3 linked regions of the Arabidopsis thaliana genome follow. The protein of the gene in region 1 interacts with the protein of each later gene in a pairwise test. Each region holds a gene or a part of one and is shown on either strand. Other genes may lie near its edges.

What was found.
Region 2: the proteins of SHP2 (region 1) and NTT interact in binary tests that used the Arabidopsis thaliana proteins (3 or more experiments, as listed by UniProt).
Region 3: the proteins of SHP2 (region 1) and SEP1 interact in a two-hybrid assay, tested with the Arabidopsis thaliana proteins (one study listed by BioGRID).

What each region holds. Positions count from the first base shown.
Region 1 is NC_003071.7:17,815,832-17,828,156, forward strand, and holds SHP2 (K-box region and MADS-box transcription factor family protein), read left to right. Parts: upstream 1-4,423; 5' UTR 4,424-4,595; intron 4,596-4,755; 5' UTR 4,756-4,770; coding exon 4,771-4,997; intron 4,998-6,426; exon of another isoform or gene 6,427-7,053; coding exon 7,054-7,135; exon of another isoform or gene 7,136-7,255; coding exon 7,256-7,417; exon of another isoform or gene 7,418-7,505; coding exon 7,506-7,553; exon of another isoform or gene 7,554-7,657; coding exon 7,658-7,699; exon of another isoform or gene 7,700-7,789; coding exon 7,790-7,975; 3' UTR 7,976-8,182; downstream 8,183-12,325. Other genes in the region: PP5.2 (protein phosphatase 5.2), read right to left, coding at 1-65; HVA22F (HVA22-like protein F), read right to left, coding at 1,629-1,655, 1,755-2,007, 2,099-2,221, 2,299-2,325, 2,424-2,470; PDF1 (protodermal factor 1), read right to left, coding at 10,496-10,838, 10,934-11,384, 11,469-11,595. UniProt on the Arabidopsis thaliana protein: Probable transcription factor. Interacts genetically with TT16/AGL32 in a partially antagonistic manner during flower development. Is essential for the coordination of cell divisions in ovule, seed coat development and endosperm formation.
Region 2 is NC_003074.8:21,366,248-21,377,537, forward strand, and holds NTT (C2H2-type zinc finger family protein), read left to right. Parts: upstream 1-4,509; 5' UTR 4,510-4,688; coding exon 4,689-5,387; intron 5,388-6,421; coding exon 6,422-6,874; 3' UTR 6,875-7,344; downstream 7,345-11,290. UniProt on the Arabidopsis thaliana protein: Transcriptional regulator required for normal differentiation of the ovary transmitting tract cells and pollen tube growth. In Arabidopsis, the transmitting tract facilitates the transport of pollen tubes to the ovules for fertilization.
Region 3 is NC_003075.7:16,369,204-16,379,094, reverse strand, and holds SEP1 (stress enhanced protein 1), read left to right. Parts: upstream 1-5,358; 5' UTR 5,359-5,583; coding exon 5,584-5,629; intron 5,630-5,730; coding exon 5,731-5,841; intron 5,842-6,099; coding exon 6,100-6,278; intron 6,279-6,384; coding exon 6,385-6,489; 3' UTR 6,490-6,762; downstream 6,763-9,891. Other genes in the region: SK11 (SKP1-like 11), read right to left, coding at 1-92; EDA9 (D-3-phosphoglycerate dehydrogenase), read left to right, coding at 2,534-3,089, 3,361-3,848, 3,939-4,034, 4,383-5,054; AT4G34180 (Cyclase family protein), read left to right, coding at 7,712-8,066, 8,146-8,190, 8,276-8,348, 8,450-8,547, 8,647-8,717, 8,910-9,035. UniProt on the Arabidopsis thaliana protein: May be involved in non-photochemical quenching, a process that maintains the balance between dissipation and utilization of light energy to minimize generation of oxidizing molecules, thereby protecting the plant against photo-oxidative damage.

The sequences.
Region 1 (12,325 bases):
TCGTTGGCCTGACTTTTAAACTCCTCTGCCCGTGAAACATCAGAATTCTCATTCTTGGTCTCCATGTTGTCAGGATGAACTTATCTCTTACTGAATTCCTTATTATCCGGTGAAGCCACAACTGATTGACAGAAAATATGTAAAGTTAAGGTTTTATCTCAGTCATGCCCAAATGCACGATAGCAATAATCATAATCACTTGGCCAATTCCTCATCAATAAGTTTTCTACTTAACAGGGAGCTAGTTTAAGAGCTTTAGACATTGAAATTATACTCAACCTAAATAAAGTATAGATTTTTCGTAATACAGCCACTGACTTTAGTCATGCAACGAGATACATAGGAGGAAGAGAAGTCATTCACACAGAAAAACATTCCTACACATTAATGAACTTGAAAAACGCACATAACTAAATCCAGCTAAGAACACGAAACATAACAGATAAAAAAGCATTAAGCGAATAGATAAGAAGCAAAAAGTTGTGAACTTTCAAATTCTGCATCGTTTTCATAACAGCTCAACAACGAATTAGAAGAATAATCAGAATCGTGGCCGTGACAAGTGGAAAAAATATATCACTTACAAACAAATTCTGTGAAAGGATCTATTAAAACCCAGATAAGAGGAAAGCAGAACTGGACAACAACAGAAGGAAGCCAGCGTTTAAGACATGTTTTGTCGGGAAATCAGAGAAACTCATTACTCTAAAGATAGATTCAAACCTGAAAAAAGATTCAATCTTGGCGACAGCGGGAGAGGAAGAGGTTGACGAGGAGTGAGACAGGTTTTTTAAGAGAAGCTTCAAGTGACTAGAAACCCTAGATTAGATTGGTCAAATTAGAGTATACGCTTCAATCTATGAGAAAAGAGGGGTTTTTGGAAATTATTAATGTGTGTTCTTTTCTTTTTTTAAGTTGAACAAAATAAAAAATAAAATTATTAATGTGTTTTTTTTTGATAAATTGGAAATTATTAATTTTGCGCACTCAATTCTTTACCAATTAAATTAAATAAATGGACGAAGAGATATGTAGACTTGTATTATCTTTTTCTGACGTCATATATCAATTTTTTATGTATGGTTTGTGGATAGAGATGGACAAATAATAATAATCACGGATCTCAGAGTATTAAAGTATAGAATATAGATTAATGACCCTAACAAAATTAATCACATTTTTTTTACGTCATATGAATTACATTTTTTTTGTCGTTATATGAATTACATTTAAAAACTTCCAAAGATGTGATTTTATTATTTTACATAATTAAATTAGAATAAAATTAGATTTAGGAAATTAGCAAAACACCAATTGTGATATAGCGCGAGCTTGAATTTTATTTTTATTTTTATGTCAAAAAGAGTGTTGTATTCTCATTTTAATTCGAATCGTGTCCTGATGTTTTGTTTAATCAAATTGAGACCCATCCAAATGTATGTTGTCAAAAAGAGTTGGACTGGCTTCTCTAATAGTATCTTTGGTCATAGAGTACTAGAACACAAATTTGTCACCATAAATCTTTCAAACATATATATCTTTTTCATTATAGTATTGCTCTATACAATCTATGTACATACATGTACAAACCAAAGAGTAATGTTTTTCTTGACTCTTGATCTTCCATCTCAATGCTTTCTAGTTTCTTTTTCAGCCTACATTTGAACACAAATAATGAAGTTAAACTCCCAGAATATATGTATTGGATTATATATACATAACTATATTAAAGATCAACAAGAGAAATCATATACCGCTTTGATTGCTTTCTCAACAGAATCCCATCCAAACCGGTCAACGTAGTCTTGAACCGATTTTCTAGCATCAAGACTCATCATCTGTAAAACTCTTCTTTGTTCGTCTGTATAATTCGTTCCTCCTCCAACATTCATCCCAATTTTGACGTATTGTCTAACAAAATTGGAGTAAATGTAAGCTGCACCACTGAACATTGGTAGCACCAACCACATACAGAACAAAAGCTTCAAGTATGGCCAAAATGGTAGCCTACAATATGCAAAAGAACACCATTTTTTTGTCTTTATAGGCATAAATTTTTGAATTCGTAACAGAATTTAGTGAATAATATTGTAATTACCAGGCAAGGACTCTCCAAACGGATAGCTCGAATATCGTTATTAAAGAGTAAATGATCCAATATGTAAGCCATTGTTGATCATCTAACATTGTTGGACTCTCTATTGCTCGAAATGATGCATACCTAATCATTTATTCAGTTAACTATCAAGTTGCATTTGTAAAAACCAAACATTTAAATTCAGATTTGATATCACTTACAGAGGATAGAGAAGCATGACTCCAGGCCTGCATGCAACAAGAAAAAGGAAGAAAATAATGTTAAAAATTTGACAAATATAGTGTTTATTTTTATTATATGAGACAGAATTTGAATAAAATCCTACCCAACTAGAGCATCAAAACGTTTTGCAATCGCAATAATGAAACCCATTTTCTTTTTGAGTTTTTACTCTTCTTTCAACAGAAACTTTCTCAAACGTCTTTAGCACTGTGACGTTGGATATATACACAAAAGCTTGAAATTTCTTCAAGCAAAAGAATCTTTGTGGGAGTTAAGGCAACAAGCCAGGTAAAGAATCTCCAACGCATTGTTACGTTTTCATGAACCTATTTATTATATGTTCTAAGAAGAAAAAAAATATCTCAAAGTAAACGTTGGAAAATTTCTGATGAAGGGAAATCCAAAGTCTTGGGTTTAGTATCCCTATGAATGGTATTTGGAATATGTTTTCGTCAAAACAAAAGATTCTTTTCTTTTTCACAAGAGTTAGTGATCAATAACTTATGCACTAATTAATGAGATTGGACGTATACACAATTTGATTATGATACTTGAGTAAAAATCACCTGTCCTTTAATTTGGAAATCTCTCTTTCTTACCCATTTATATACTACTTCTTTTCATTAAAATTAAATTTCAATTATCAATCATCGTTCAATTTGATAAAGATTTAACATTTTTTGTCACAGGGCTAGTAAAAGCAATCTTTACATAATTCATCTTTCTTACATATATATATTACCTTTTTCTTCATTAGTATTCTATTTGATTATGATTATTTTGTCATAAAGCTAGTAAATTAAACACTCGATATGAGAATTATATTACTTCACGCTAATTAACTCTTAACACAACAAGAACTAGTGCATATTCAACTTTCAAAGCATATACTATATATTGAGAATATAGACCACGAAAGTCAATCAAAAGACCTACCAGCTCTCATCAAGTTCTTTCTTGAAATGATTTTGCAGAATTTCCAACTTAATTAATTCGACATGAATGTGAAAATGTGTGTTGCTCGTTAAGAAAATTGAATAGAAGTACAATGAAAATGATGAGGAATGGGCAAAACACAAAAGAGTTTCCTTTCGTAACTACAATTAATTAATGCAAATCTGAGAAAGGGTTCATGGATAATGACTACACACATGATTAGTCATTCCCCGTGGGCTCTCTGCTTTCATTTACTTTATTAGTTTCATCTTCTCTAATTATATTGTCGCATATATGATGTAGTTCTTTTGTCTAAATTACGTAATATGATGTAATTAATTATCAAAATAAATATTCAAATTGCCGTTGGACTAACCTAATGTCCAAGATTAAGACTTGAACATAAGAATTTTGGAAAAACTAAACCAGTTATAATATATACTCTTAAATTGCCATTTCTGAACACAACCAAATAATAATATATACTATTTACAGTTTTTTTTAATTGGCAAGAACACTGAAATCTTATTCATTGTCTCGCTTGGTAGTTGACAAGTTATAACACTCATATTCATATAACCCCATTCTAACGTTGACGACGAACACTCATATAAACCACCCAAATTCTTAGCATATTAGCTAAATATTGGTTTAATTGGAAATATTTTTTTTATATATAAAATGCCAGGTAAATATTAACGACATGCAATGTATATAGGAGTAGGGCAATAAAAAGAAAAGGAGAATAAAAAGGGATTACCAAAAAAGGAAAGTTTCCAAAAGGTGATTCTGATGAGAAACAGAGCCCATACCTCTCTTTTTTCCTCTAAACATGAAAGAAAAATTGGATGGTCCTCCTTCAATGCTCTCTCCCCACCCAATCCAAACCCAACTGTCTTCTTTCTTTCTTTTTTCTTCTTTCTAATTTGATATTTTCTACCACTTAATTCCAATCAATTTCAAATTTCAATCTAAATGTATGCATATAGAATTTAATTAAAAGAATTAGGTGTGTGATATTTGAGAAAATGTTAGAAGTAATGGTCCATGTTCTTTCTTTCTTTTTCCTTCTATAACACTTCAGTTTGAAAAAAAACTACCAAACCTTCTGTTTTCTGCAAATGGGTTTTTAAATACTTCCAAAGAAATATTCCTCTAAAAGAAATTATAAACCAAAACAGAAACCAAAAACAAAAAATAAAGTTGAAGCAGCAGTTAAGTGGTACTGAGATAATAAGAATAGTATCTTTAGGCCAATGAACAAATTAACTCTCTCATAATTCATCTTCCCATCCTCACTTCTCTTTCTTTCTGATCATAATTAATCTTGCTAAGCCAGGTATGGTTATTGATGATTTACACTTTTTTTTAAAAGTTTCTTCCTTTTCTCCAATCAAATTATTAGGGTTCTTCAGTTAATCCTTATAAACCATTTCTTTTAATCCAAGGTGTTTGAGTGCAAAAGGATTTGATCTATTTCTCTTGTGTTTATACTTCAGCTAGGGCTTATAGAAATGGAGGGTGGTGCGAGTAATGAAGTAGCAGAGAGCAGCAAGAAGATAGGGAGAGGGAAGATAGAGATAAAGAGGATAGAGAACACTACGAATCGTCAAGTCACTTTCTGCAAACGACGCAATGGTTTACTCAAGAAAGCTTATGAGCTCTCTGTCTTGTGTGACGCTGAGGTTGCTCTTGTCATCTTCTCCACTCGAGGCCGTCTCTACGAGTACGCCAACAACAGGTACACATCTTTTAGCTAGATCTTGATTTTCTTGAATTTTTTTTCTAGAATAAAGTTTCGACTCTTCTGGTGGGTTTTTCAATCTTTATGGTCTCTTTATAGTTTTTTTCCTTAGTTTCTCTGAAGCTCAAATCTCTTTAAAAATCCCCAAAATTAGGGTTTGTTTAAAACTAGGGAACCCTACTTTAACTTCTTTCTCTTAGTAAAAAAGCAGTGAGGGTCTTCTCTGATCATTAATTAGCATCCCCCATACCTTGTTCCAGTCACTTTTTCTCCACAAATCCTTATAACAGTATCTATATATGTATCTATTTATGTCAGTTTGTACAAGACACTTCGATCAATTTGATGACCCATCAAGTTTTATTTCTGCAGATTGATCATTAGGTTTCCATCATAGTAATGAAAAAGTAGGGTTCTTGATAAAATTATAATAATATATATTATTTGGCTATATAAAAAAGCTATGTAGATTCCTTCAAAATTGATTCACTAGGGAGAGACTAGTAGGTGTTTGTCTTCTGACACTTCTCTAATCTTTTGGTGAATCCTTTTGTTAAATCAAGAAAATGAATCAGGGACAAAGCTTATTGTTGAGTCACTTAATTAATCATCCGATCCATCAATCAAGAAAAATAACGAAACAGAAAATTTTGATTTTTGATTGTTATTTTCTCCACTTCAAGTTGGGGACTTGTCATTTCCGTTTTTCTATACGTTTCCAGCTATTAACAGCTCATGTTCATTTCACCATTTTGATTATTTGTCTGCTTTTTAAAGATAAATGTTTTCAAAAATATTGTTTTTATTTGCTTGGCTAGTTAATACTATAATTGAGGTTGATGTATGACTATAATCTATAAGTCAAGTCTCATATCATGGATCTAAGTTAAAACTAGTAAATTTGTAGTTTCAATGTGAACTTTCACAACGACTAAAGAACTGATCTGAAGTTTATAATGGACATGACTAATTTGATTAACAAAAGAGGAATGCATTATGTATGTAGAAACATGTGATATATATATGTTTCTATTATCAAAAGTGTAGTTAACTTTCTTATTTCAAACACCCTCATGCTTTAGTAGTATCTTACTTTTGACATTTCTCAACTTCAGCTTTCCATTATACAACAGCACAATGTAAATTACTTGTATATGAATATGAAAGCATAACGTTATGCAAAGATTTCTAGCTTTTCTTTTTCTGTTTTGCAAAAGATTTACAAATATCATGTTCTTGGTAAAAACATACTTGCCTCAGCCACATATGCATGTAAATGTAATGTTCAAATATTAATTCAGGAAAAACAAATGAAGAAGCAAAATTAGCTTCTAGAGTAGGGAATCTATTGACTTGACCTGAAAATCACTTCTTTTTCTTAAAGCCTAGTAGTGAATTTTTTAATCTAATTAGGCCAAAATATATACTAGCCTAAAATATAATTTGGATTTTGTGTCGTACATAAATTGGGACCAATTCCAATTAACTAAGAGCATATGCAATTCAAATTCTTTTTATTTTCTTCTCCGATTTGCTACTTCTTTCTTTTGTATGTTTTCAAATTAGGATTACACTTTTTTGGGGAAGTACACATTAGGGTCTTCTCGAACTTTGATTATACATATATATATATATATATAACTTTGTGAGATGTCACTGTTAATAGATAATAGGCAATAACAATAATATCCCAAAAAAAGAAGGGCAAACAAATCATATACTATATGGTACTGGTCCATTCACTATTTTGTCGGTTGAATTTAAGGTTTTGGGCGGACAAAACTTTATTTTCAAAACCTTAATATCCGTCTTTCTGTGTGTTTTGTATATCCAGAAGATAAAAATATCAATTTCTTTAACGACTTCATATATATATATTTTTTTCTCTTCTGGTTTTAGTGTTTGAATCCAACAGTTATAGTTTCGTGTGTCTTTGTTTTACTTGTGGTGGTTTAAGTTTGAGATTTTCACCGATTGCATCTATTTACATATATAGCTACCACAAAAAAGATTGCATTTTAAAATCTTTTCCTTTGTGTGAATGTTGATGAAGTGTGAGAGGAACAATAGAAAGGTACAAGAAAGCTTGCTCCGACGCCGTTAACCCTCCGACCATCACCGAAGCTAATACTCAGGTTAGCTTTTAATTAATACACCTAGCTAGCTAGTTCGTTAATTACTTAATTTCTTCTTCTTTTAGTTATCTGACCTTTTTTTCACCTCTTGTAACAATGATGGGATCGAAATTGATGAAGTACTATCAGCAAGAGGCGTCTAAACTCCGGAGACAGATTCGGGACATTCAGAATTTGAACAGACACATTCTTGGTGAATCTCTTGGTTCCTTGAACTTTAAGGAACTCAAGAACCTTGAAAGTAGGCTTGAGAAAGGAATCAGTCGTGTCCGATCCAAGAAGGTACAATCACTAACTCTCCATCAATCTCCTTATCATTGAATATATATCCATCTGATTCTTGCCCGTTATATTTGGTTTTTCTCTCCAGCACGAGATGTTAGTTGCAGAGATTGAATACATGCAAAAAAGGGTAAAAGTAAAACCTATCTTCCTTCACAAGTAACTTACCCCCTACTTTATTAGCAACTTCTCTTTCTGATGATCATCTTTTTTTATTTTCTGTTGTCGCTTGCATTGTAGGAAATCGAGCTGCAAAACGATAACATGTATCTCCGCTCCAAGGTTTTATACATAACTCTTTTTGGCATTTTTGATCATCATTTTTTTCCGGTAGACAATCTCTTGATGTGCAAATTCTAAATATCTCTGCAGATTACTGAAAGAACAGGTCTACAGCAACAAGAATCGAGTGTGATACATCAAGGGACAGTTTACGAGTCGGGTGTTACTTCTTCTCACCAGTCGGGGCAGTATAACCGGAATTATATTGCGGTTAACCTTCTTGAACCGAATCAGAATTCCTCCAACCAAGACCAACCACCTCTGCAACTTGTTTGATTCAGTCTAACATAAGCTTCTTTCCTCAGCCTGAGATCGATCTTATGCATATATATATTCATGTTACACTTACTGTCAAAAAACTTAAAATGCAGATGGTAACGATTTGAGAGGGACCTAATAATTTACATATATCTTGATTATGTAAGTTAAGGCTAAGACAAGAGATCCAAAAATAAAATGGGATTTATTGCTAGTTAGTGTTGCATATTCAAATCAAAATGTGTTGATGTGACGTAAAAAAAGCATATGCAATTTCAACAAGACTATTGAGATGCAGTTTGAGATGCAAAAGCTGCATATGCATAGATAGATCCCAAGTTACATCTAATTAAGATCTTTCTAAATTCTAAATCATGGACATGGAAGATATAAGCGATATATATAGGCCAAACCTTTTTCCCCCTTTTGTTTTCAAACTGCAGAGGATATAGTCTCTTTATCCTTCTAAATCAGCTCAGGATTTTTCACTTTCTAAGGTAATGCATAAATTTACAAGAAAGAGATCGTAGATGGTACCTCAGGTTTACTAAGACAAGGCAACTGAAATGAAAACCCTTGTGAATTTGAGAGTCTTGCTAAAGTTCAGTGGATCAGGATCTTAGTCCCAGCGTCATGTCATAGAGGGACAAGAAGATGTGTAAGATCTTCAACAGCAATAAATCCTGCTTGTAGAAGTTCCTGTATTAACACTCTGCAGTATATGAGACTGTATCAAGAAGGAAGCTTGATGTGAGAAATTGATAGTCTCTACATCCACAGCTTTACCAGTACCTAAAACTATGAAAGGACATCATGCTGCATCATAAGATGGAACTATTAGTAGAACTTTGTGTCATAATGTTTTTGGATTTTAGAACCCTTGACCTTTAATCATTCTCATTCTGCGTCGAAAACCTGCAACAACAGAAATGGCAGAAGATATTTGAAAACAAATGGAGCTAAGAGATGTACCATTTTCTAATGAATTCAACGAGACTTTTCTTCCTCAATTCCATTGTCAGCAGCTCCTCCCAAGCTTTCTGCAAGACTTAATACATTCATGCATTTCTCACCATGATTTATAGTATAACGGCCAAAACCTGTCATAGTGTCTTGACCTAACTTTTACTGCAAGAGAGCAACCAAACAAGCTACATATCCTATCAGTTTGATTTAGTGAAAACTCTCATAGCTAAATTTTGTTTACTGCTACATGTGTTCTGGCATCTGTCTTAATCTGAGGTGACTGTCTCCAAAAAATAAGTTTAGTTTCCTTAACATAGAATGTGATTAGGTGAAAACAGAACACTTTCAATTCAAAATGATAAGAAACCACTTAGTGAGCTATGTTCCGAAAATTCCACATGCTGATGAACAAATCAAGCCTAGAATATTCAATCGATGCATCCAACTTAGCAAGGAAAAAAAGTTGAAATTCTTGAAGAAAAATAACTGCAGAGCTAGAACTTGAGAAAATCTACTTAATGCTATCATCACAAACCAAATAAATCATCATCCTCTGTTCACACATTGATCATGACAAGCATATATCACAATTTCAAAAAGTTTACTCGTTCAAATTACTTCAAAGTTTCATTACTTCTGAAAAAGCTCTCCATGGCTAAAACAGATTCAGTGGATCAAAGTTTGATTACTTCTGGATTAGTATTATTTTTCGTATGGATTTTGTTGACATTATTAAAAAGTTAGAATCAGTCATAAGATCATAAAGTAGGAAAAAATAACAGCCTTGGGTGAAGATAAACTTGGATAGAGATATTTCTCAACCTCCAAAGATGTCGTGTTTCCATAACCATGACACACCAACTTAATATCATGAATGCAATTCCAGACACCAATAGAGAGAGTCATTAAAGATATTTTCATTGGTGGGTAGAACTTGGGGTTTGAAACTTGAATGCATGGAGACCATCTTGCAATATTTACTCCACAGAGTTTATTACACTAACACCACACTTTTGATATGTACTCCTTCCTTCTTTAATGCTATAATGTTTGCTCCTTCTCTCTCTTTCTCCTGCCCTTGTCGTTTTTGGAGTTTAATCCAGTTGTTTTCACTTTATAGACACACCTCTTAGGCATGATTTTAAAAATGCTCATGAACAATTTAATGCAACAGTTATGACAATGTGTTGGTCTGTGAGCATGTTAATCTAGATTTGGACTTTGACTTCTCTGTACCTTGGTCTATACATTAAATTATCTGTTATCTCTTTCAATATTGATGTTTTATGATCCTATCTATAGTTTCTTGTTCGGGTTAAACTTGCATATGATTCATTTCTTTGGACATTCTTGAACAGTGATTGAGAAACAGAGGAACTACTAAATCTTATTTAAGATCAAGAAATTTTTTGAAACAACAACATTAAATAAAAGGAAGTATCCATCATAAATATTACTAGAGACTATAGGACACTTCAAATTCTACTGAGCAACACAAATGACAAGATAATTAATTAAGATTGTTTTTGATATAAACCAACAAACAAACTGAGAAATGAAACTCTCTTAACTTCAGACTCTAGGCTTTAGACGACCTTCATTAGCAAGCTTGAAGGTATGGGCCTGCTTTGTGGCTGCCTTGTTTGAGGAAAGTCCTGCAACAAAGTGGTCTCTAACTTGAGGGGTTGTGAAAGGGAACTTATGGTTGACCATGGAGTTTAACCAAGAAGCTGTGCCTTCACGGTAGAGAGCACCAATGGGATCAGAGCGGGTGTTGGAAAGTGCCTGAAGAAGGTTCATGTGAGGATCAAACCCTGGAATGCTACTGGGAATACTGACTGTACCAAAAGCTCCTCCAACAGTTCCCCACCATCCAAGCAAGCCCCATATCAATGTAGGGTGGTTTCTCCAGTAACTACACAAAAGATAAACAAAACACATGAAGTGTGATAATTGATATCATCATCTGTCTTATGATGTTTGTATAAGAGCGAATGTTTTGACACTTACTCGCATGTTCCAGTGATTGGTGGGAAAGGAGCAGGAATGAAAGGAGTTCCAGGAGTGCCTGGGTCAATGATAGGAGTTGGTGGGCTTCCTCCAATGATGGGTGTGCCTGGATCAACAATGGGTGATGGTGGAGTCACAACAACCGGAGTTCTTGGTGGAGGAGATGAGTAATATCCACCAGAAGGAGGGTGTGATGGCGTTGGGTGCGAAGGAGTGGAAGGGTGTGAAGGCGTGGAAGGGTGGGAAGGTGGACTTCCACAGTTACAAGGAGGGGTGTGTGGAGTTGGCGTGTGTGATGGAGTGTGTGGAGTTGGAGTGTGTGATGGAGTGGAAGGAGTTGGAGTATGTGATGGAGGTGAAGGGTGAGAAGGAGTTGAAGGAGAAGGGTCGTAAGGTGGACTTCCACAGTTAGAAGAAGGAGGCGTGTGTGATGGAGGAGTTCCATGTGAGCCTGCATGAGTTAAGTGAAAGAAGCATAGTGAAGATTCTTATTACATCAAGCGAATAAAAAAAGTTACAATGTTTGGTTTCTTACCAGAGGGAGGAGATAAGTAGTATGTTTTGGCATCCTCAAACCTTACGGAAGCAACAGAAGCAAAGAGCTGCTGTGAGAGTAAAGCAGCAAAGAGAGCCCAAACGGCAAAACTCACCATCCCTCTCATTTTATGAGAATTCACTGAGATTCAGAGAGAAGTTTGTTGCAAATGGTATTGTGTGGTAGAATAAAAACCGGATACTAGGGTTTATAAATAGAGGGAAGGAAAGAAGCAAAGGGATTTTTGAATTAAGTTTTTGAAGTAAATACAAACAGGTGGAGGAGTGTGTGGTTAGTTGATGTGTTGCAGGTGCATTTACACTATCCCATTTAATACCCCTGGTGATTGCAATAAAACTTGGAATTCTGCAAAGTAAATTAAAATAAGATAAGTGAAAGAGTTGAATTATTTAATCTTTCATGCAAAGGCATGGACGCGTATGAGAAAGCTGTCTCCCATATGAAATGATTCATCACTCTCTCTCAGTCCGTATTACTATTTAGGTCATGTTTTTCAATCAATGACTCGGTACGTGTTGCTTATGTGTATTGCATGACATGTTTGTATCAAAAATGCAAGCTAGGTCTGAGATAATGTGAAACCTGATTAATACTAAGTAAGTATCAACTCTTAGGATTGAGACATAAAAAGCAAGTGGCCATCAAGACTCAAATCAAGAATCTAGGAAGACTAAGCGTAGACCCTTTTGTTTTGTGCTTCTCTAAGATAAGCTAAGGAGATTATTAAATTTGTAGTTACTTGAAGACTTGAAGTTGATAGAGAAGTCAATAGCTGCATTTATTACAATTAAGGTCGCTTTTCTCTTTTCGACTTCGTTTTATGGGCATCAAACCCC
Region 2 (11,290 bases), on another chromosome or scaffold:
ATAATTAATTTAATCCATAACTAACTAACACATTTATTTCATTATACCAAAAATAAATCATCACACACTAAACTAGAGACGCATGACCGTGCCACATCCTTCCTTCATTTGTCAACAGAATATTAAGTTATTAACAGTTGGGTCCCAAGTTCGACACTCATAAAACAATATATGTAATTTGAGGAAGATGGAAAAACTTCATGCAACACTGTTTCTGTTTTTTTGTTCATATGAAAGTTATGGTCAGTTTTCGCCAATGCAGATTTTCACTATATATAAGATATTTTCTTTTTCTTTTTTGTGCTCTACAAAAATGGAAAGAGCAATACACAAGAAACAATGAGAAAACTATATGACAAGCTAATACAAGTCTTTTTTTTTTGAACAAAGCTAATACAAGTCTAATATCCCAAAAATTCTTATAAGATTCTTATATGTAAGTTGATATCATCATCTGATCTAATCGTCATAGCTTCACAGCAGATCCAAGATTAACGTTTCACAACTCAACAAAATAATTCTTTTTAATTACTGTACGTATACAGCAATATGTAATTTAAAAAAATAAAAATAATAAATGACCGTATGTATTTATTGCAGTTCTACCAGTTGAACTCAGCAAACAGAATCACTATTTAAACCTTTAGTCGTAGTATCGATAAAACTGTTTCATATAAGAAACATCACATGCAATATAAATGTTCTATATAGAATTAATGATGTCATGACCCGACACATAAATTTTAAATTTTATCATAATATACATAAAAAGGTCACATCCAAAATAAAACCTAAGCACAAAGAGGGACATAGAAGAACCATATGGTGATGGCTTCTCTCTCCTGCTCTATGGGTATATATAACACACATACAAATAGTCACAATGTGTTGCTTGTGAGGGCCCAGCCTCTTGTATAAGGCCGAAGTCTTATTCCGTTGAAATTCTACTCAATATGAGGTTTACCTACTAAGACCCATATTATATCAAATCCAAAGAATGTTTCTCAAGTTAATATCCTAAGAATATTATCCATTATTATTATATATCCTCCTAACATTAGGTATTTTCCATCATCATATCTTGAAAATTTCTACAATTTTTTGTTCTTTTACTTTGATAAAGATACCATCCATTTGTTTCAACAATTGTTGAGCTACGTAAATAACACATTTTAGAAGTTTCACCATGAAAAACAAGTTCTACAGCGGAATTATTCAACTACCATAATATCAAAATTTAATTCGGGCATATTCAACTCCAGTACAGAATTTATACACCATGCATCTACACAGATAAATGCTGCAATCGATCAAGTTAAGATGTGAATGTGTTTTGCATAATTAACTGATTGGTGGATTAAAGATGAGGTCGAAATAATCCAATGTAGATGTTACTGGTGAAAATAGTACTCATGTTTATAACCTACATATATTGCCAAAAACAACAACATTACAATTGCAACAGTGAACATGAAATGTTCTTTGTGAACATGTGGTTCGTTTTGTGCATAAATAGTGTCATGATGGATATATAAAACCAAATTATGTCATCACAAAAAATACACTAGTATTGTGACAATAAATTAAGATCATGATTTATTTTTATTTTTCTTAAAGAAATTTAAGATCATGATGTTTATTAATATTCGGAACTTAAATGTATATATGCGTAATCATCACAACTTTCATATACTAATTAAAATTGATTAATGCCAACTCACATATATATATGCGAATAATTTGAATGAGTTTAATGAGAATCAGATTTTGAACTACGATATGTGGTAATGTAGGCGATACGTAATATGATGGGTCCATATATTAAAACCGAATCTAGCACATATATTATATCATCGCCTGATTACTTTGCATCATAACAAACATGGATAACTTACTCAGCGAGCAAAAAGTTATCTTGGAGAGAAACTGAAATTTTGTTTACAGTAGACTTTGGGTCACCGTCAGAAAGAAATGATTTATGTTTTCACATATATTATCAATTATTCGTTATTATGGACGGAAAGCCTATAATTTCCTAGAGAGACCTTTTCTAGCTAAAGAAAATATATTTTCAAATCGATAGAATTGCATTTCGTAACTAAAAAAAAAACACAATTCAGCATAACTAAAAGGGTTGTGTTTTTTTCTTTTTCTTTTTCACCGATTATATATAGTAAATAGCTTTTCAGCAAAAATTAAATGTGTTCCGCATTTTTATTCGACCGATATTTCATTCTTCCTTTGTTCATAGATTTGAATATACATATATATCTATATATATATATATATATTATTGTGCCATAACAAAGAAAGAATAGATAATTGTTTGTTTGTGTATAATTTAGAATTATAGATATTGGGTAAAGTGGAGAAGGAAGAAAAGGAACAGTGAGGCAGGATCTGCGGTGGGGATTTGGACATTCAATGATCTTACCGTTTGAGGGAAAGCCGACCATTGATGCGCACACCAATGCAATTGCTTCCCTTTTTTCTCATATAAATATTAAAACTCATAAAATAAATAAACAATTAACATAAGCAAAACTACATAATTTGGTTCATCGAATTAATAATTCATGTCAATAATAGAAAATCAAAACCCCCCAAAACTTTTACGAATACATACATTCCAGTTTTCTCTCGGGTCCTCGTACTTGATTACCAAATTTATTAATTATTGAATTCCCATATGTGTGTTTTCAATTTATTTATTTTTGTTTATTTTATAGTTAAAATTTTATGAGGAAGAAATCCATTATATGTGAATCTATATCCTAAAATGAATCTAACCTAGCATAAATATGGGATAATACTTCAAAACTACTCACAAACTTTGAAATATTGTCCTTCTAAACCTAGAAAGATATTATTTATCTAACCTTCTTCTTGTCTATATATTTTTGAAACTAGGTCATAGGAGTAGATTTTACTGATATTTATTTCTTTTCTAAACTACAAACACAAAAATTGTAAAATCAGAATTGTGTCCTAATTTATGCTATTTTTTTTTAATTAGCTCATGAGTCGGGAATGACGCCACAATTTTATTTAATTAATTTGTCCATCGGTATTTAGACAGTTACATTATTTTTCAAATTTACCCTGTTTCAAAACTATTTTTAAGTCTCAAACTGATAAGATATGGCTTCTTTTTTTCTTTTTTTGAGGAAAGGCTTTTAAGATAAGAAAATTTGTTTGGGAATTGGGATGAGAGCCATCTCCAAAAAGCAGTGACATTATCTTTGTATGATGTATCTGAACCTCATATGCTTTATGTATTTTTTTATTTTATTTTTTTGTCAAATATGTTCCTTTTTATATATTAATCCTGTTTCACTCATAGTGAATATAAATAAATAAATTCCAATTTTTCCGTGGAGCCAATATAGGTCGAACTCGAATAGCTTTTTGTTTTGTCATATTGGCTATAAGATTATTGTCTTTGGTATTTTAGCGTATGTATGTATACTCTTCAAGCGAGCCCTAATCCTCAATGTCTATTATTATCATCTTTATTACATTTTGACCTACTTGTATGAAATGGCATCCACTAATGCTTTTAATTAAGTACATAATCCACAGATGTGGAATATTTAAGGACTTTTATGATTTAAATATGTTAATACAAGTTCCTGTGCTATTAAGCCTTACGTAATCTGATAATGTTAATCAAATTAGATAATACATATAATTAGAGCCCCTTTTGTAGATTTACTTTAATTCGTTTAATTAGTAAAACAATCACCATGAAAAAATCGTCATATTCAAGCATAGTTTTACTCTCTCTTTTTCAACGACCATAGTCTGACAATAAACTAAGTGAATTCAGACTTGAACATACGAACAACAATTATTCACATCATTCAATGGTTTTGCATTCTTTTTCCTTATAAGATCCAGGTATAAGAGATACACAAATTGAATAAGGATCCAAAGTTAGATCTTTGTACGGTTTTTAAAAATACAATGAAGTAATATGTTATATAGTTCTGATGTGCAGGTTCAGACGCTGTGTTTACTTACCATGATCATACGTAGAAACTCTCAGTCACACGAATTATGAGACTATGATGTCGTCCGAAAATTAAGACATCTTATAATAGTAAGAAAATTAAAGAACGTGATTTGTAGTTTATAATTATAACAACTTATAAGATTTTGAAAACCTTTTAAATTGATTAAAAAATTATTTTAATTCTATATTCTTAACAAAAACAAATCACCAATAAAAAAAAAAAATCTACTATCTGAATTTCTAATGCTTACTGCCTAATCTATAAATGTTATCTTCAAAACATCGTAAACAGTCTTAACCGCACTGGTTATTTCTTAACCATCGTTTTATTTTTTTTATAAAGAATAAGGACCTACATATCTGAATGAAATAATTACTTTGCGTAGACTAATACACATTCGTATTTGACCTGCTTCTTTAGTTCCTTTTTTTTTTTTTTTTCGTTAAAGTCAGTTTTTAGTTTTCAGTCCATAATTAATAATCTTTCTCTCTCTTTTTCTCTTGCACCCAAAGAAAATCTCTCTTTGCAACCCAAAAAAAAAGCTCTCTCTCTCTCCCATCCCATCACAATCTCTCCATCTCCATCTTCATCTCCCATCTATGTCTCTTGTATAAAGATAATCCCACAAGTCTTAAAACTATTCCTTTCTCTTCCTCTCTCTCTCTCTTCACCATGACTGATCCTTATTCCAATTTCTTCACAGACTGGTTCAAGTCTAATCCTTTTCACCATTACCCTAATTCCTCCACTAACCCCTCTCCTCATCCTCTTCCTCCTGTTACTCCTCCCTCTTCCTTCTTCTTCTTCCCTCAATCCGGAGACCTCCGCCGTCCACCGCCGCCACCAACTCCTCCTCCTTCTCCTCCTCTCCGAGAAGCCCTCCCTCTCCTCAGCCTCAGCCCCGCCAACAAACAACAAGACCACCATCACAACCATGACCACCTTATTCAAGAACCACCTTCAACCTCCATGGATGTCGACTACGATCATCACCATCAAGATGATCATCATAACCTCGATGACGATGACCATGACGTCACCGTTGCTCTTCACATAGGCCTTCCAAGCCCTAGTGCTCAAGAGATGGCCTCTTTGCTCATGATGTCTTCTTCTTCCTCTTCCTCGAGGACCACTCATCATCACGAGGACATGAATCACAAGAAAGACCTCGACCATGAGTACAGCCACGGAGCTGTCGGAGGAGGAGAAGATGACGATGAAGATTCAGTCGGCGGAGACGGCGGCTGTAGAATCAGCAGACTCAACAAGGGTCAATATTGGATCCCTACACCTTCTCAGATTCTCATTGGCCCTACTCAGTTCTCATGTCCTGTTTGCTTCAAAACCTTCAACAGATACAATAACATGCAGGTTCTTAATTAATCACACTCTCATTAATCTAAATCTTTAACATATCTCAATACGCATTACTTTTTGAAGAATTTCGTTTTCTTTTCCATGTAAATCGACTTCTTTTTTCCCTTCATTATTCCGAGTAAACCCAAAAGGTAAAAACCAAAGAAAATAGGTTTGCTCACTAAATTTCCTCGAAAAAAAACAAAAACGTTTTCACCTTAAATCGGTAAATAAATATATATAAATACATACTGTTTTCAAATCAATCAGAGGACGTGTCTTTGCTCACTGATGCATGAATAAATCATTGCATTACAAAGAACCGAGAGACTTGAGACTGTGAAGTCTGAGACTGAGATTTAACAAGACAGTAAATGTTCTTTATGTCTTTAGTACTTTCAGAGTCTCTGTGGTTTGCTGCTTTTCACTACAATATTGGCAAGTGTGTCACCCTTTTTTTGTATGAGAGTCTTCAAATGTCTAACGTGTAAAATAACAGTACTGATACGATTTCACAGACCCATATTTCAATTAATATACATAGATACATATAAGGCTTCATTTGTTTGCTACATATATGAGCTTGATAAGATTTTGTACTGAACATAAACTAAGCATCTTTTTCTTTTTAAGTTTTGCTTAGTTAATTTGTTAACCTAAGCATGCATTGACATATCTTATTATTATTATTATTATTATTATTATATATATATATATATTTTTTTTTTTTATGAAATTCGTTTCTATAATTTTGATTACATTTCAGCATTTGTTTGACATCTTATTGTCTTTTTACATATGCTTCAAGGTTGATCTGCTAATTAAGTTGCGTCTGCTGGTTAGAATAATCATCATAACATTGATAATCTATGTATGCTGGCTAGAGTAATCATTACATCTTATAGAAGACACATGTTATTAAAACTGCTAATGCACATATCATAAGCTAAAGTTTCAAGACTCACACTTTTAGAACTTTTCGAACATATACTATAAGTTATCCAAACCCTACATGATGATCATATATACATGCATGATTTTGTTTACAGATGCATATGTGGGGACATGGATCACAATACAGAAAAGGACCTGAATCTCTAAGGGGAACACAACCAACAGGAATGCTAAGGCTTCCGTGCTATTGCTGCGCCCCAGGCTGTCGCAACAACATTGACCATCCAAGGGCAAAGCCTCTCAAAGACTTCAGAACCCTTCAAACACATTACAAGAGAAAACATGGGATCAAACCTTTCATGTGTAGGAAATGTGGAAAGGCTTTCGCAGTCCGAGGGGACTGGAGAACACATGAGAAGAATTGTGGCAAACTTTGGTATTGCATATGTGGATCTGATTTCAAGCACAAGAGATCTCTCAAAGATCACATCAAGGCTTTTGGGAATGGTCATGGAGCCTACGGAATTGATGGGTTTGATGAAGAAGATGAGCCTGCCTCTGAGGTAGAACAATTAGACAATGATCATGAGTCAATGCAGTCTAAATAGCTTATATATATTACTATAAGTACTAAGTAATTCGGTATATATATTAATTATAAGAAACCTAAATCTATGGACCAAGTTTTGATGGAGGTAGGGCTTTTCAAACTAAAAGCTATATCATCTAATTGATCATAGGAAAAAAATGAATCAAGAGCACTTGGAAAATTTTAAATTGTATCTTTAGCTTCCTAGTTAAATTTATTGCAAGACAATGTAGCAGTCTAACCAATGAGGTTCCCAACGGTTTATTTCTATTTGTATATTATTTTGTCATTAGCTTCACCTTTCGTTAATTCGAAGGACATAACTTATAAATGTTTAAATTATGTTTGTTAGGATACTAAAAGACAAGAAAAGTAGATGCTATACATTCATGCATAAGAATTTTCTCTTAATATACCATATTCTAGATCAAAATGAATATTTCCAAATTTCAATTTGAGTAATAATAGATTCTAGTTTTTTTTTTATTCCAACAGATATTTGTTTTCTGGTGGAGTTATCGTTGGTTTTATTTTATAAGAATACTTGTGATACTTAATTGTCTAGTGACATCATGGAAAATAATGAGAGAATGGACACTAGAGAATATTGCTACGTACTCAAGTGCAGAACTTTATTAGGAAGATCGAATACCAAATTATACATAATGTGATGATGATACGCATCCCATATGTTTTGAGAATATAACAATACATAAATAATTATAGATGTGTTTTGGTTTATATTTTATCAACGCATGTAAAATTAAATTAAAATAATTCAAATCTTTAGTACATAATTTACCAAAAAATATCATTCAACTGAACAATTCTTGATTCTCACGAACTCATCCGAATGTGAGAAAACAAATCAAAATGCCGATGCTAGTTATTGTCATATCTACCAATTCATAGCAATTAGTTTAAAAGCTACTCTCGTCCGTTTCTCTTTCTTTTTTTAGTTTATGTATATGTTGCTTGATCTAATACATAATCAACAGTTGAAACACTTCAGTTTTTGTTTGTATCGTTTGCGTAATACCTTGTGTTTTTGAATGGTTACAAGTACTTGAAATGAAACGTTTAAAGTATATTGCGTTTTTTTTCTTTTCAAAACATCTGTGTTAATTTTTATATTTTTTCTTAATTATTTTATGGGGTGTAATACTCAAATTTTAAATATAAAAGGCAATTATAATATATATTATACTGTTTCTTCAATAAAATGTTTTGTTGGTTTCGTTCTCATGAAAAAATTGTCCTATATATATGTAGTGATGTTCATACTAATTAACTTTCCGATTAATAAGCACCAAATGAATATTGCATTTGTTAACCTGATGAAGCCTGTCAAAAAGATTTCTTTATTTTTACTATATATTATATATATAAGAAAACAAAATTACCGGACTACAAGTGATTGTCTTGTTATTGTAGTTACAGTTTTTGTTTTGTGTCAGTTAGTTGGTAATGAAGAATTCAAGATCCAATTTGGATATGATTGTATACTAAGATTACAGTTAAAGAGAGGCTTTTCTTCCTGCAAAGAGCTTTTCAATATGCTCCCTTTTTGCTATCTTTTTTTCCCCTCTTCTCCTTTTTGTTAGTGGAGAGACAAATTTGCTCGTTGAAGGAACATTACACCTCTTGAACTAAATAAGATTCACTTTCATTTTATTTTTTAATCTTAGAATTCGAAACCAAAATTATCTCTCGATTTAGATATTGTCATATTGACCTAATTTTCGTTCACGTATAAAGGTATGCATAAACAGTGAATATTCCTTCGGTTCCTATATCTGCATACGTATGCATGCAGTCATGTATATACACGTGTATGTATGTACATGAAGATGATGATAAATGGGTGAAGAAGCACAAACTAATGTGAAGGAGGGTGATAAAAAAACAAAAGAGAAGAGAGTGGAGCCCAAAGGGTGTGATGGGTTGTTTGGGAGCAAAGATTGATGGTATCAACAGTTATTTTTTTTTTGCTCTCTATCTTTCTCTCTCACTCACTGTTATTTGATTTGACATCTCATTTTTCCTTTGACCATCTCTCTCTCTCTCTACACACACACTCTCACACAAATGACACAACTTTCATCATCTCCTCCAATCAAAACCCACATGCTTGCCTCTTTTGTATTCATTTCATATTCAAGTTTACTCATCTTATTTCTTAAATGTATTTGAACCTAATCTAAAATGTTAGATTAGTTGTGTCCCTAACAGTTAGTTACCTTATTTTAATACATACAGTAATTGGAGGGATATACATAACATTAATGTGCAAAAAAAAATTCTGTTATAGATGGATATACATACAATAATGTATGGGTTGTTTTAACATTGGTCACAAGCTGAAACTAAACAGTAGAAAATCTGGAAAAGTTATGAACGCACATCTTTAAATTATGTAGGATTCAGACAACATTTATTGCCAATCAATATCCTACCCCTTTGTTGGGAGAAATAGACCATCCCTATTCCCTACCTCTCTTCTTTCCTTTGACCCCTCTCATTTTCCCAACACTCTCCAGAAATTTCTACCGATCGATAAATATGTACATATATATTGGTATATGGTATTAAGTGGTTCCTATCGAATGTTAGATCATCTTTTATATGCGGTAAAATGTAAGTCATGCGTTGACAGATAACATATAAGCAGTAAAAGTTTTAGCTAGTCATTCAAATCGACATTTTCTATAATACGGTAGAAAACCTTCTAGATTAACTTTTGTCACTTTATATTTTTGGAATCTATGTATAGCTTTATGATTAAACTATTTAAAAAGTCCCAACAGTTTATATCACATTGGAAAGTGATAAAGAAGCAAGAGAAATAGTTATGTTTAATATAATTATATAAATGAATGATATAAGTTAACATGCTAAAACTTTGATTTTTTTTAATTTACAACTTAGTTATGAACACTATTATTTTTTGGTCAAATGAATTCTAATTTGCTTAGACATATATATATCCAGTTAAAGGTCTACATGCACATGTTTATATATTAAGATAGATAGATCACACAAAGAAACATAAAAATAAATGGAAAATTATTGATATAAAATGGAGTACTAGTTAAAAGTTTTCGAATCTCGAAACTGAATTGTTCTCTGTGAGTGTGCAAAAGACATTTTCAAAATCCGAGCAACATATATTTGGATTTTCCTACTGTTGCCGGAAAGAATCCGAACATTGGACTTCACTTTGTTCCGTAACTATGCTGTTAAATTAACTAATGCATTTATAAAACCAAAGTTTATACATTGGTTATTTTCACGTAGACAATTTTCCTTGTCTGAAAAAAACTTGAATAAAAGGCCTTAATTCCTGCTTTTTAAAATCCCGAAGCAATATTCTAAATCCGTCAAACGAAATTTTAATTACTTTACAATTTCCTATGTTCATGTCGAGATATGCAAATGTGTAAATTACTAGTACTAACTGAATTAATTTATTTAGTTTTACTGTTCATATTCCAAGGCTGATCTGAAGGAGACAGCTTTGTCTGCCGTGGCTCAAATCTCCATCTCCCACATTTAATTTATTTTAGTTGACACACACGTACGTAAACTGTTTACATTAGTAGTATTTTTTTATCATGGAAAAAATCTTCCTGTGACCGTGTGACGTATTTGTTTTGTCTATATAATACATAATTACATATACGTAAATATGTAACGAAAACGTAAATGAAAGAAAAGTATAAATTTGATTATTAAGATTAAGTAGCACATAAAGAAGATTAATGTAGCAATATATGATTTTCGACAACTTTGTTTGAAGGAGGCCCCAACATGCAAAAGATAAAGGGAGAAAGAGGCCAAATTGAGCTTGACTCATGATTAATCACGGGTACCTCAAAAGAGCAAACAAAAAAATATATTGAATAAACTAATTTCATATTTAAAGAAATACTTGTGTAAACAACATACATAAACAGCATATATATATATATATATAATTATATATATCAATTTAAAATTATTGTTTAAGGAGTATATATATATATATATATATATATATATATAACATTTAAATTAGTGCATGGAAAACAATATTTCTTTATAGATCACAAGTAAAAAAAAACAAAGACATGTAAGAGGGCAATATGTAGGTATGATGTGCCTTCTAATCATTTCTTAAACAATAATGAAGGGGAAGAGTGTTCATTGAGATTCAAATTATCGCCAAAGGTTTCATTCGCATACTCTTTTTTTTTGTTTTTTTACAGAATCATCATTCGCAAACTTTGTAAGATAATATTGTCTATAAAAAAAAAAACAAAAAAAATTTGTCTATAAATGTACCTAGCTACTTTAATGATTGTTTTAGTTTATTTTTTGATAAAAATTTTAAACGATTGTTTTAGTTTGAGTTGTTATCCTATTTTTTAAAAAAATCAAAAATGTAACTGTATGC
Region 3 (9,891 bases), on another chromosome or scaffold:
TGCGCTATGGTCTGCGATTGGATTGCTACCGCTTCTTCCACCTCAAACGACTGACCATCGGAGCTCATCAACACGATCATCTTCGAAGACATTGTGTGTTCCTTGTGGAGGAGGTTTTTCACTGTGAAGCAAATTTGATGAAAGATTTAAGAATTTAGAGAGCGAACAAATTGTGTTAAGGTGATGAAGTTGTGAAACCCTATGCGTCTTTGTATTTATAAGCCCTAGCTAGAGTCGGTGACAACAACATATTATAATTCAACGCGTGGTACACTACGGACAAATATTTTATTTATATATATAATAATTTTAAATTTTATAATTTTATATTTAGTAATAAAGTTATATAATTTTATATTAATCTTGTAATTAAAAAAATTAGTGATGATAAAATAATAAAATAAATATTTTACCTGTGTTATATCAATCCAAACCCGTCTCGATGTATTTCCTATCAATCCAAACCCGTTCTGCTATACTTCCCGTCTCATGATATTTTAATTTTTTATGTTTAAATATTAATAATGTTTCATAAAGGTAAAATATATCACTAATATTCTTTAAAAATAATAATTGTTTTTGACTTTAATGTGATGACATTCTTTGTAAATTCTTACTTTACTAACACAAAAGTACTTTAAAAAGTACTTCAAAAATTTTAATATATATAATGTTATTTTTTGGTAAAAATTATTATAAATAAATATTTAATTTAATCATAATTTGGGATTGATATACTTGTGTTTTTAACTAACTATTTTTTATTTTAATAACCTAAATTTAGGCATTTGTTAATATTTTTTGAATCTGCAATATCAACTTAATACATGTACAATTTATTTTTGCCAAAAAAGAGCAAAATTATTTAGTACAATTGAAACGAAAAATGTTGATTGAGAAATAATTAGGGTTTCAAATTTTATTACGCAATTATTTTTTTAATGAAAATATTAAAGCATATATTGTAATATAAGATTTGATTCATTTTATTAACTGAAAATAAATGATGTAAAACGAAAAATCAGGGTGATTAATGCTAATTGGAAAGATTTAAATGTTTTTTTTTTTTTTAATTTCATAAATTTTAGTAACATAATAGATTTTATATTTATATTTAAAAATAAGTTTAGTAAAATAATAAATGTCAATGGCATGCCATAGTAAATAAGTGCTAAGTGAAGATTTATTTGTTAAAGTGGCTGCAAAAATGTATATATAGATAGTTATTGTTTCTAAAAAAAAAAGCAATTAAAAAAATAACGAAATACTTATTTTCCTTAACTGAAAGAAATAAGTAATTTTATGTTGCTGGGCCTTTATATGAGTTTTATTATGCTGTTGTAACTTTACCATGGTTGGGTTAAAATGAAAGAATGAAAAAAAAAAAAAAAAAGTAAATTAATTGTCGACTCATTTTTCATAAAAGGTAATTTCAGTTGAGTAAACCAAAATAAACCAAAAGATATACGAAGATTCAACAGTACACCCATCCACGCGCGGCTGCGTTGAATACTATACGGGGGGTGTCAACAGGTCGACCTACCAAAAACAATGCATCTAAGCAGTTGCAAAGACACACTAAGCAAATCTTTCACGTGCAATAAATTATACTTACGTCACAGCCATCAGTATATCCTTTCAAATATTCCTCCTCACAATTGATGTATTTACATGTGTGTAAGTTGACACAAACAAATCACTTGCCCTGAAAACTAAAACTCTCGAGTTTTTTCAAAAAGAAAGTCCAATTCAATTTAAATTTGAAGTCTTCAATTTGTTTTCAAATACTAAAAAGTGCGGCTCTCCCTCTAGTGTATGGCCTCGTTTACTAGTAGTGCGGGGACCTTTTAATCTTTTATTACTACTTGTTGCATTCAAGCATGAAGCATGGACAGACACTCCCTTAGAAAGAAAAACAAAATTATGAAATTTCCTGCTTCATTTTGAAATTTCTGCGGAAACTTATGATTTGGATATATTATAAACATAGTAACTCCTCTACATTAAAAAAAAACATTACAAGTCTTCTTTTCATTTGGGACATAAATGTTAAAATCTTTTATAGATACTGTATTTAAGTCAATGATCTGATTATCTGACAGACATCGTGAGACTCCTCATGCCATCAAAATAAGGCTTCTTCAAGATCTCTATTTGCATTGTCAAAAATCTTCAAAGCTGTAAATAATTTTCGAGTAATCTTTTGTTCTCGGTCAGAGAGATATGTAATAAATAAAGTTTACTTTTCCTCAAAGTTGTACATTTTTTTTTATTTTTTGTTGGTTTGGCAATTTTTCCGGTAAACTATGCAAATTCTATTCGCCGAAACATTTTGCAGATCACTAAACCAAACTGAATCACACGCGCGAGCCAAATGCGCGTGAGATTTCATCACCTTCGTCAAAATACTATCACATCACACCAAACCCCTGAGCCGACTATAAAACCTTTTAGATCTCTCCCTCGTGTTATAACTCCGCCACCAACAATATTTTTCTCTACTCAATTCACTCACACTCCAAAAGCGGTAGCAATGTCAGCCACCGCCGCCGCCTCCTCCTCGATCGCCGTTGCCACCAACTCTCTCAGGAACGTGACTCTGTCTTCCAGATCGCCCCTTCCATCAGCCATCTCCGTGGCTTTCCCTTCCCGTGGACGCAATACTCTTCAGCGACGCCTCGTTCTCGTTTCCTGCAGTACTGGAGACGGATCTAAGCCTACGATTCTCGTGGCGGAGAAGCTCGGTGACGCTGGTATTAAGCTTTTGGAGGATGTCGCGAATGTCGACTGTTCGTATAACATGACTCCTGAGGAGCTCAACATTAAGATCTCGCTCTGTGACGCCTTGATCGTGAGGAGTGGGACTAAGGTTGGCCGTGAGGTGTTCGAATCGTCTCACGGACGGCTCAAGGTTGTTGGTCGCGCTGGTGTTGGGATCGACAACGTGGATCTGAGTGCAGCGACGGAGTTTGGGTGTTTGGTTGTCAACGCTCCGACGGCGAACACGATCGCTGCCGCTGAGCACGGAATCGCTCTTATGGCCGCCATGGCTAGGAACGTAGCTCAAGCTGATGCGTCTGTTAAGGCTGGTTAGTTCCTTTTTGATTCATTGCCTCAATTTCATACTTTCCATATGTTGCGAAATATTTATTGATTATGTTCTTTCTATACCTGTGATTGATGGCTTGTTGTGTTTATTAATTTGTATCATGAGCTTTCCTTTTCCTGTACTGTTGTTGACGATGGTGAAATTTAGGATCGTTACATTTGCTGATTCTTTTGAAATTGAGTTTTGATCATTCTTGTCTGTTATCTAGCTGACTTGTGGATCTTGGTTTTAATAATACCATTGTAATGCAGGAGAGTGGAAGAGGAACAAGTATGTAGGTGTTTCACTTGTGGGAAAGACCCTTGCAGTGTTGGGATTCGGGAAAGTTGGGACGGAAGTTGCTCGTCGTGCTAAGGGTCTTGGTATGCGTGTCATTGCTCATGATCCCTATGCCCCAGCAGACCGTGCACACGCCATTGGTGTTGACTTAGTGAGCTTTGATGAAGCCCTTGCCACCGCGGATTTCATTTCTCTTCATATGCCTCTTACGCCAACAACATCGAAGATACTAAACGACGAAACCTTTGCCAAAATGAAGAAGGGAGTTCGAATTGTTAATGTTGCTCGTGGAGGTGTCATAGACGAAGATGCGTTAGTGAGAGCTCTGGATGCTGGTATTGTTGCGCAGGCTGCACTTGATGTTTTCACCAAAGAGCCTCCGGCTAAAGATAGCAAGCTCGTGCAGCACGAGAGGGTCACTGTGACACCTCATCTTGGAGCTAGTACCATGGAGGCTCAGGTGTGCAATTCATTTTACAGTTCAGGTGATAATTAATCATGAAATTTCTGTTTGGCTTCTGTTATATAGTTGGTGTTTTGGCTTTGACAGGAAGGAGTTGCCATCGAAATTGCTGAAGCTGTTGTTGGAGCTCTGAATGGAGAGCTTGCTGCTACTGCAGTCAATGCACCTATGGTTTCTGCTGAGGTGAGCACTCGCTTGTGCTAGTAAATACACACATATTGGTGTTGTTTCAAAGAGGCAAACTTATCAGCCTATTTACTGTAGCTAGCCTGGGAATGAATGTAGCAAATTATATTTGTTCCGAGTTGGTTAGAAAGAAGTTAGTGAGCGGCAAAATTGTTGAAGTGAGGGTGGGTTTTCTAGGGATTTGTTTTAAGAGCCTCATTAATCAAGTTTCTGTGATTTCTGAATTGGATTTTAGACTAGCAAGGTTTATAGCTTTGTTCTTATCAGATTCAAGTTGGAAGATTTCAATTGTTAAGACTATCCATGTTTGTTATTTGCTCAAGCTTACATGCATTCTATCTGCAGGTTCTGACCGAGCTGAAACCATATGTGGTGCTAGCCGAGAAACTAGGAAGACTGGCAGTGCAACTGGTGGCCGGAGGAAGCGGTGTGAAAAACGCGAAAATCACATACGCCTCAGCAAGAGCCACTGATGATCTTGACACCAGACTTCTCCGAGCCATGATCACCAAGGGAATCATCGAGCCAATCTCTGACGTATATGTCAATTTGGTCAACGCTGATTTCACAGCCAAGCAGAGAGGTCTCAGACTCTCAGAGGAACGTGTGCTTTTGGATGGTTCACCAGAGAGCCCATTGGAGACAATAACTGTTCAGCTAAGCAATGTGGAGTCCAAATTCGCCAGTTCCCTGTCTGAATCAGGAGAGGTTAAAGTGGAAGGAAAGGTTAAAGACGGAGTCCCGCATTTGACAAAGGTTGGATCTTTTGAGGTCGATGTAACTCTTGAAGGTAGTATCATACTGTGCAGGCAGGTGGATCAACCTGGTATGATCGGGACTGTCGGAAGCATCCTTGGAGAGTCTAATGTCAATGTTAACTTCATGAGCGTTGGGAGAATTGCACCGAGGAAGCAAGCGATTATGGCGATTGGAGTAGATGACATACCAAGCAAAGAGACACTGAAGAAGATTGGGGAAATTCCAGCGGTTGAGGAGTTCGTTTTCCTCAAGCTCTAGTTTGGTGTGTTGTTGATTCTTGAATCTTAAATCTCACCGGTGAAGATTTGATGTTGTTTGTTGGTTTAGGCAATAATGTTATTTTGGCTTTCATACAGTTTTGGTAACGTTGAGAGTAGTGTCTCTTTGATGTTTCAACTTTATGGTTTCTATTACTTGAGTGCTTCTTTCTTCTCTGAATATTTATTTCCTGAATATTAGTGACCACAAATTGGTTTATAACCCAATTGAACGAACCGATGTAACTATCGTAGAGAATCTGTTAATTAAGCCAATCCAATTTTTCAAAATTGGTTTGGTTTGGTTCAGATTAGGTTCGGTTTGCTCTAAGAGATGCAGTTGTTTGTGAAACGCCACCGTTTTGGAAAACTGTGTAGCTCGAAAAGATACGAACTTAATGAGTGGAGAGAAAACACGTGTCCTCAGCTTGAACAGATAATTCTGCGACTCTTGAGAAAGGAAGACGAAGGAAGGAGAATAGTAGAAGAAGAAGAAAGGGAGAGTCTTGTGATATCTACGTAGAAGGAAGATGGCCTTATCTCAAGTGTCTGCGTCTCTCGCCTTTTCTCTTCCCAGTACTCTTTCTTTCTCTCTTCGCTACCCTTCTTCTTCCTCTAGTTGTACAATTGTCTCTATAATGTATGTATCTGACTAGTTTCGGATTTCATGTTTCCAGATTCTGGTGCCCTAAAGCTAGCCACAATCACAAACCCAACTTCTACATGTCGGGTTCATGTTCCGCAACTTGCTGGAATCCGATCCACCTTCGCTTCTGGTTCTCCTCTCTGTACGTCTTCCTTGCCCCTGAGAAAATTCTTCAATTCTCTACATTTTGAAGTTTAGTTTGAAATTGGGCTCAAATTTTGATATTTCTGATTACTGAATTGTTCATATATAGTTTGGTTATCTGAAATATGGGGCAACAATATTTATCATAAAGTTTTCTAATTTTGCTTTCTGCATTGTCTTTGTTAGCTGAGTAAATCCATGGAAAAATTGAAACTTTGTTTCTTTCGTTTTTGTATGTTGTGTGTGTCCGTTTCAGTGCCATTGAAGTTGAGTATGACCCGTAGAGGAGGAAACAGAGCAGCATCAGTTTCCATAAGAAGTGAGCAAAGTACAGAAGGAAGCAGTGGTTTGGATATATGGCTTGGTCGTGGCGCCATGGTTGGTTTTGCAGTTGCCATTACTGTTGAGATTTCCACTGGAAAAGGACTTCTTGAGGTAATCAAACATCATAACTGATATTGTTGCTTATATAAAAGTTGAAAGTTTGAGAAATGTAAGAGAAGTAGAATAACTTAAGATTTGATTTGTCTTCTTATTTCAGAATTTTGGAGTAGCAAGTCCATTGCCTACGGTTGCTTTAGCTGTTACAGCATTGGTTGGTGTTCTAGCTGCGGTTTTCATCTTCCAATCTTCTTCTAAAAACTGATCGACAAGAATCTTGTTTTGTGATGCTGCCGAGGATCATTTTCTTGTATTAAGAATCTTGTATTATATATCACTGTAACTTCTACATCCATCAGTGGAGAATCTTACATTCTTAGTTTTTTTTGGCAACATACATGATCTATACATGTCTTTTGGCCAAATCTTATTTTTATATTTTTAATACATGATCTATAACATGTATTAAGTTTGAAAACATAACAAAATTTTTGTAACAAAAATAACCAAAATATTATTTGAAAAAGAAATATCCAAAGTTTTAATAGTAATAATACAAAAATAGAAGTTTGAAAACATTTTTTAATAAATAAAAAAGTGTTAAAAATTTATCACAACGCTAACAAACAAATTCACCTAACCGTTTACTTTTAGAATCAGAAATAAACAACAAAAATAAACTTTCAGAAAGTTGCAGTTTCACATATGTTACAAACATCATCAGATTCTTTGAAACAAAACAGTAACCAAGAAGTTTCTTATGCATAGCTTTGTTCAAAATCAATACTTTGGAGTTAGTCAATTAAATTCATATGCAAATCTCTGACCTTTTGCTTTTGTAAGCTAAATGCATTGAAAAAAGGGAGAGGCTCTGGATCAGTGTGCTCATGGTGGGCCGGCCCATCACTATGGGCTGTCTAAAACAAAAACAATTTTGGAAGGCAAAAGGTATAATAACCCCGTCCCTGTATGTTGGGCTAGGCCTGTCCAGTATCCACCACCACTAACTCAATTCCCCCATTATTACAAATTTACAATCTCTCCACCAATTGGCCAACAATGGAGTATATATTAACTATAAAGCAAATCATAAAGCTTCTATAGTAACATCAAGCTATGAATATTTTTATACGTTCTGCAAGAAACGTGACATCAACATTTTGTGATTAAACCGATTCTTAATTTGTCCCTTTCTATCATCAAGTTAAAAACGTGACATCAACACTTTGATTAAGAGAATCAAGAAACGTGACGTCAATATTTTGATGAAGCTTGTGAAATGTGGACAGCTATTTTATCCTCGATGATATTCAGATTGTTTTAATAAAAATCATTTCAGCTATTTTTAGTCAATATAGACGGTTTTGCCAAACTCAAAAGTCAAAAGTCAAAGGTCAAAGGAGTCCATTATATAAACCATAGCTTAATCATTTGATTACTAAACACTAGTATAAAAAATTGAACCCGTTAACCGGCGACCCGAAACAATGACCCGGTCCGTCAGTTTCCCTCTCTTCCTCTTCGCCGTTGTACTCTCCCTCTCTTCTTCTCTCCTCGCCGACGATCCCAAACCAATCCGCCGTGAGGTCTACGAAGGAGGTAAGATATACGACATCAGCCATCGTTACACGCCGGAGATTCCAGCTTGGGAATCTTCGGAAGGATTGGGAAAGACGTTCCTGCGATTAGCCGCGAGTATGAAGAATGGATCATTCGCTAACGTATCGGAGATGAAACTATCTGTTCACTCTGGAACTCACGTGGATGCTCCAGGTCACTTTTGGGATAATTATTACGATGCTGGTTTTGATACTGATTCGCTTGATCTCCAAGTCCTAAATGGTAATTTTTGAATCTGGTGTTTATTGATTTTAGTTGGGTTAGTGATAAAGTTTTGAAATTGGGGTTTTTGTGTATATAGGTCCTGCTTTGTTGGTTGATGTTCCGAGAGATAAGAACATTACTGGTGAGTTGTTGAATTTGTAACGAAAATTTAAAGTTAGTATCTTTTGTCTAATGATTTGTGTTTGGGTTGGATTATTATTTATTAGCTGAGGTAATGGAATCACTTCATATACAAAGAGGAGTTCGTCGTGTGCTCTTTAGAACATCCAACACCGACAAGTAAGAGTCTCAGTATTGAGAGTGTGTGTTATTACCTTAATCTTGGTAAAAACAACTAGAGAGCATAAGCTTACTCACTCTGTGTTTGATATATATATTAGGCGGCTTATGTTTAAGAAAGAGTTTGATTCAAGCTTTGCTGGGTTCATGACCGATGGGGCTAAATGGTTGGTTGAGAATACAGACATCAAACTTATTGGTAAGAGATGGACAATTTCGGTTTCTTAGCTTTTCATGATCGATAGCTTGTATTACACATTTTTTTCTGAAACCGGTTATTCTGCATTGTGGAATCCAGGGCTTGATTATCTTTCATTTGCTGCTTTTGAGGAATCACCTGCAACACACAGGGTTATACTTAAAGGACGGGTTAGTATATCTTTCTCTATAAAAAAATATTCAAGTACCTAAACATTTCCAATTCTCCTGTGATGTTTGGATGTCAAACCATGGGATATGATTGAATATAGCGGTATTCACTGGACAAGAAAGTGAGAGAGATAGGTAGGCTTAAAAGGGAGATGAACTACGTCTTAACACGTGAGATACACATGTTTTCAGGATATAATCCCAGTGGAAGCGCTGAAGCTGGATGGTGTGGAGGTAGGAACATACTCGCTTCATTGCTTACCGCTGAGATTAGTTGGAGCGGAAGGAGCACCGACAAGATGCATTCTCATCAAGTGATTCAGTTCTTCTTCTTCTTCTTCTGTGTAAGTTGTTCAGTATACCAAACTGATAATGAATAATATGCTTCTTACTTTACAAGATCTCAGAACCCATGAAGCAGATGTGATGATTCAGTTGTAAAAGGAAGCATACCTTTATAAACGTGTGAATGTATTATGTATGACAGTATATTTGTAATTCTGAAGGACATGATAATAAACCTAGACTGAAACAAACGAATAATATAACCACTTGCAGTGAATGCATGAATCTGATTAGACGTGCGACCAAAAGTAAATCAAAGGTAATCTCATCTCCATATTATCTGAAACTCTCACTTCACACAACAAAGTAACTGCTGGCCCAAAAGTTTCTGTCTTGCAACAATAGCATTCTTCCTCAAGCTCTCTTTATTGAATAAGTAAGTACAAAAAAACAACCCAGAAATTATTTAAACATACAATAGGCAATAGCAGATTCTCCAGAACAAGCAATAAACAGATGGTCTTGGAATTTGTAGAATCGAAAGAAAAGAAGCATGCAGGAGTTGAAGCACGTTTTCTTTTTGGACAGGGGAAAAAGGAAACACAATCTGTGTGTTTTGGTTGTATTCCATTATATTGAAAGAGACATGCAAGTCCCATCTAGCTTGCAAAAAGCTAGCGTACTTAGCACCAAGGAGAAGCCTCTGAATGCACAAGAGAGCGTTCTCGTGGTTCATCAGTTGAATGATAATAGAAGTGAACCAGCTCTGCTTACCACTAAAATTAGATTGTTAGATGTTGCCAAACGAATTGCAAAAGAAAAATCATAACCAAACAATTCTCCAAGGTCTCGGGTTCGACAAGAATATCAAAAAGGAAAAATCAAAATA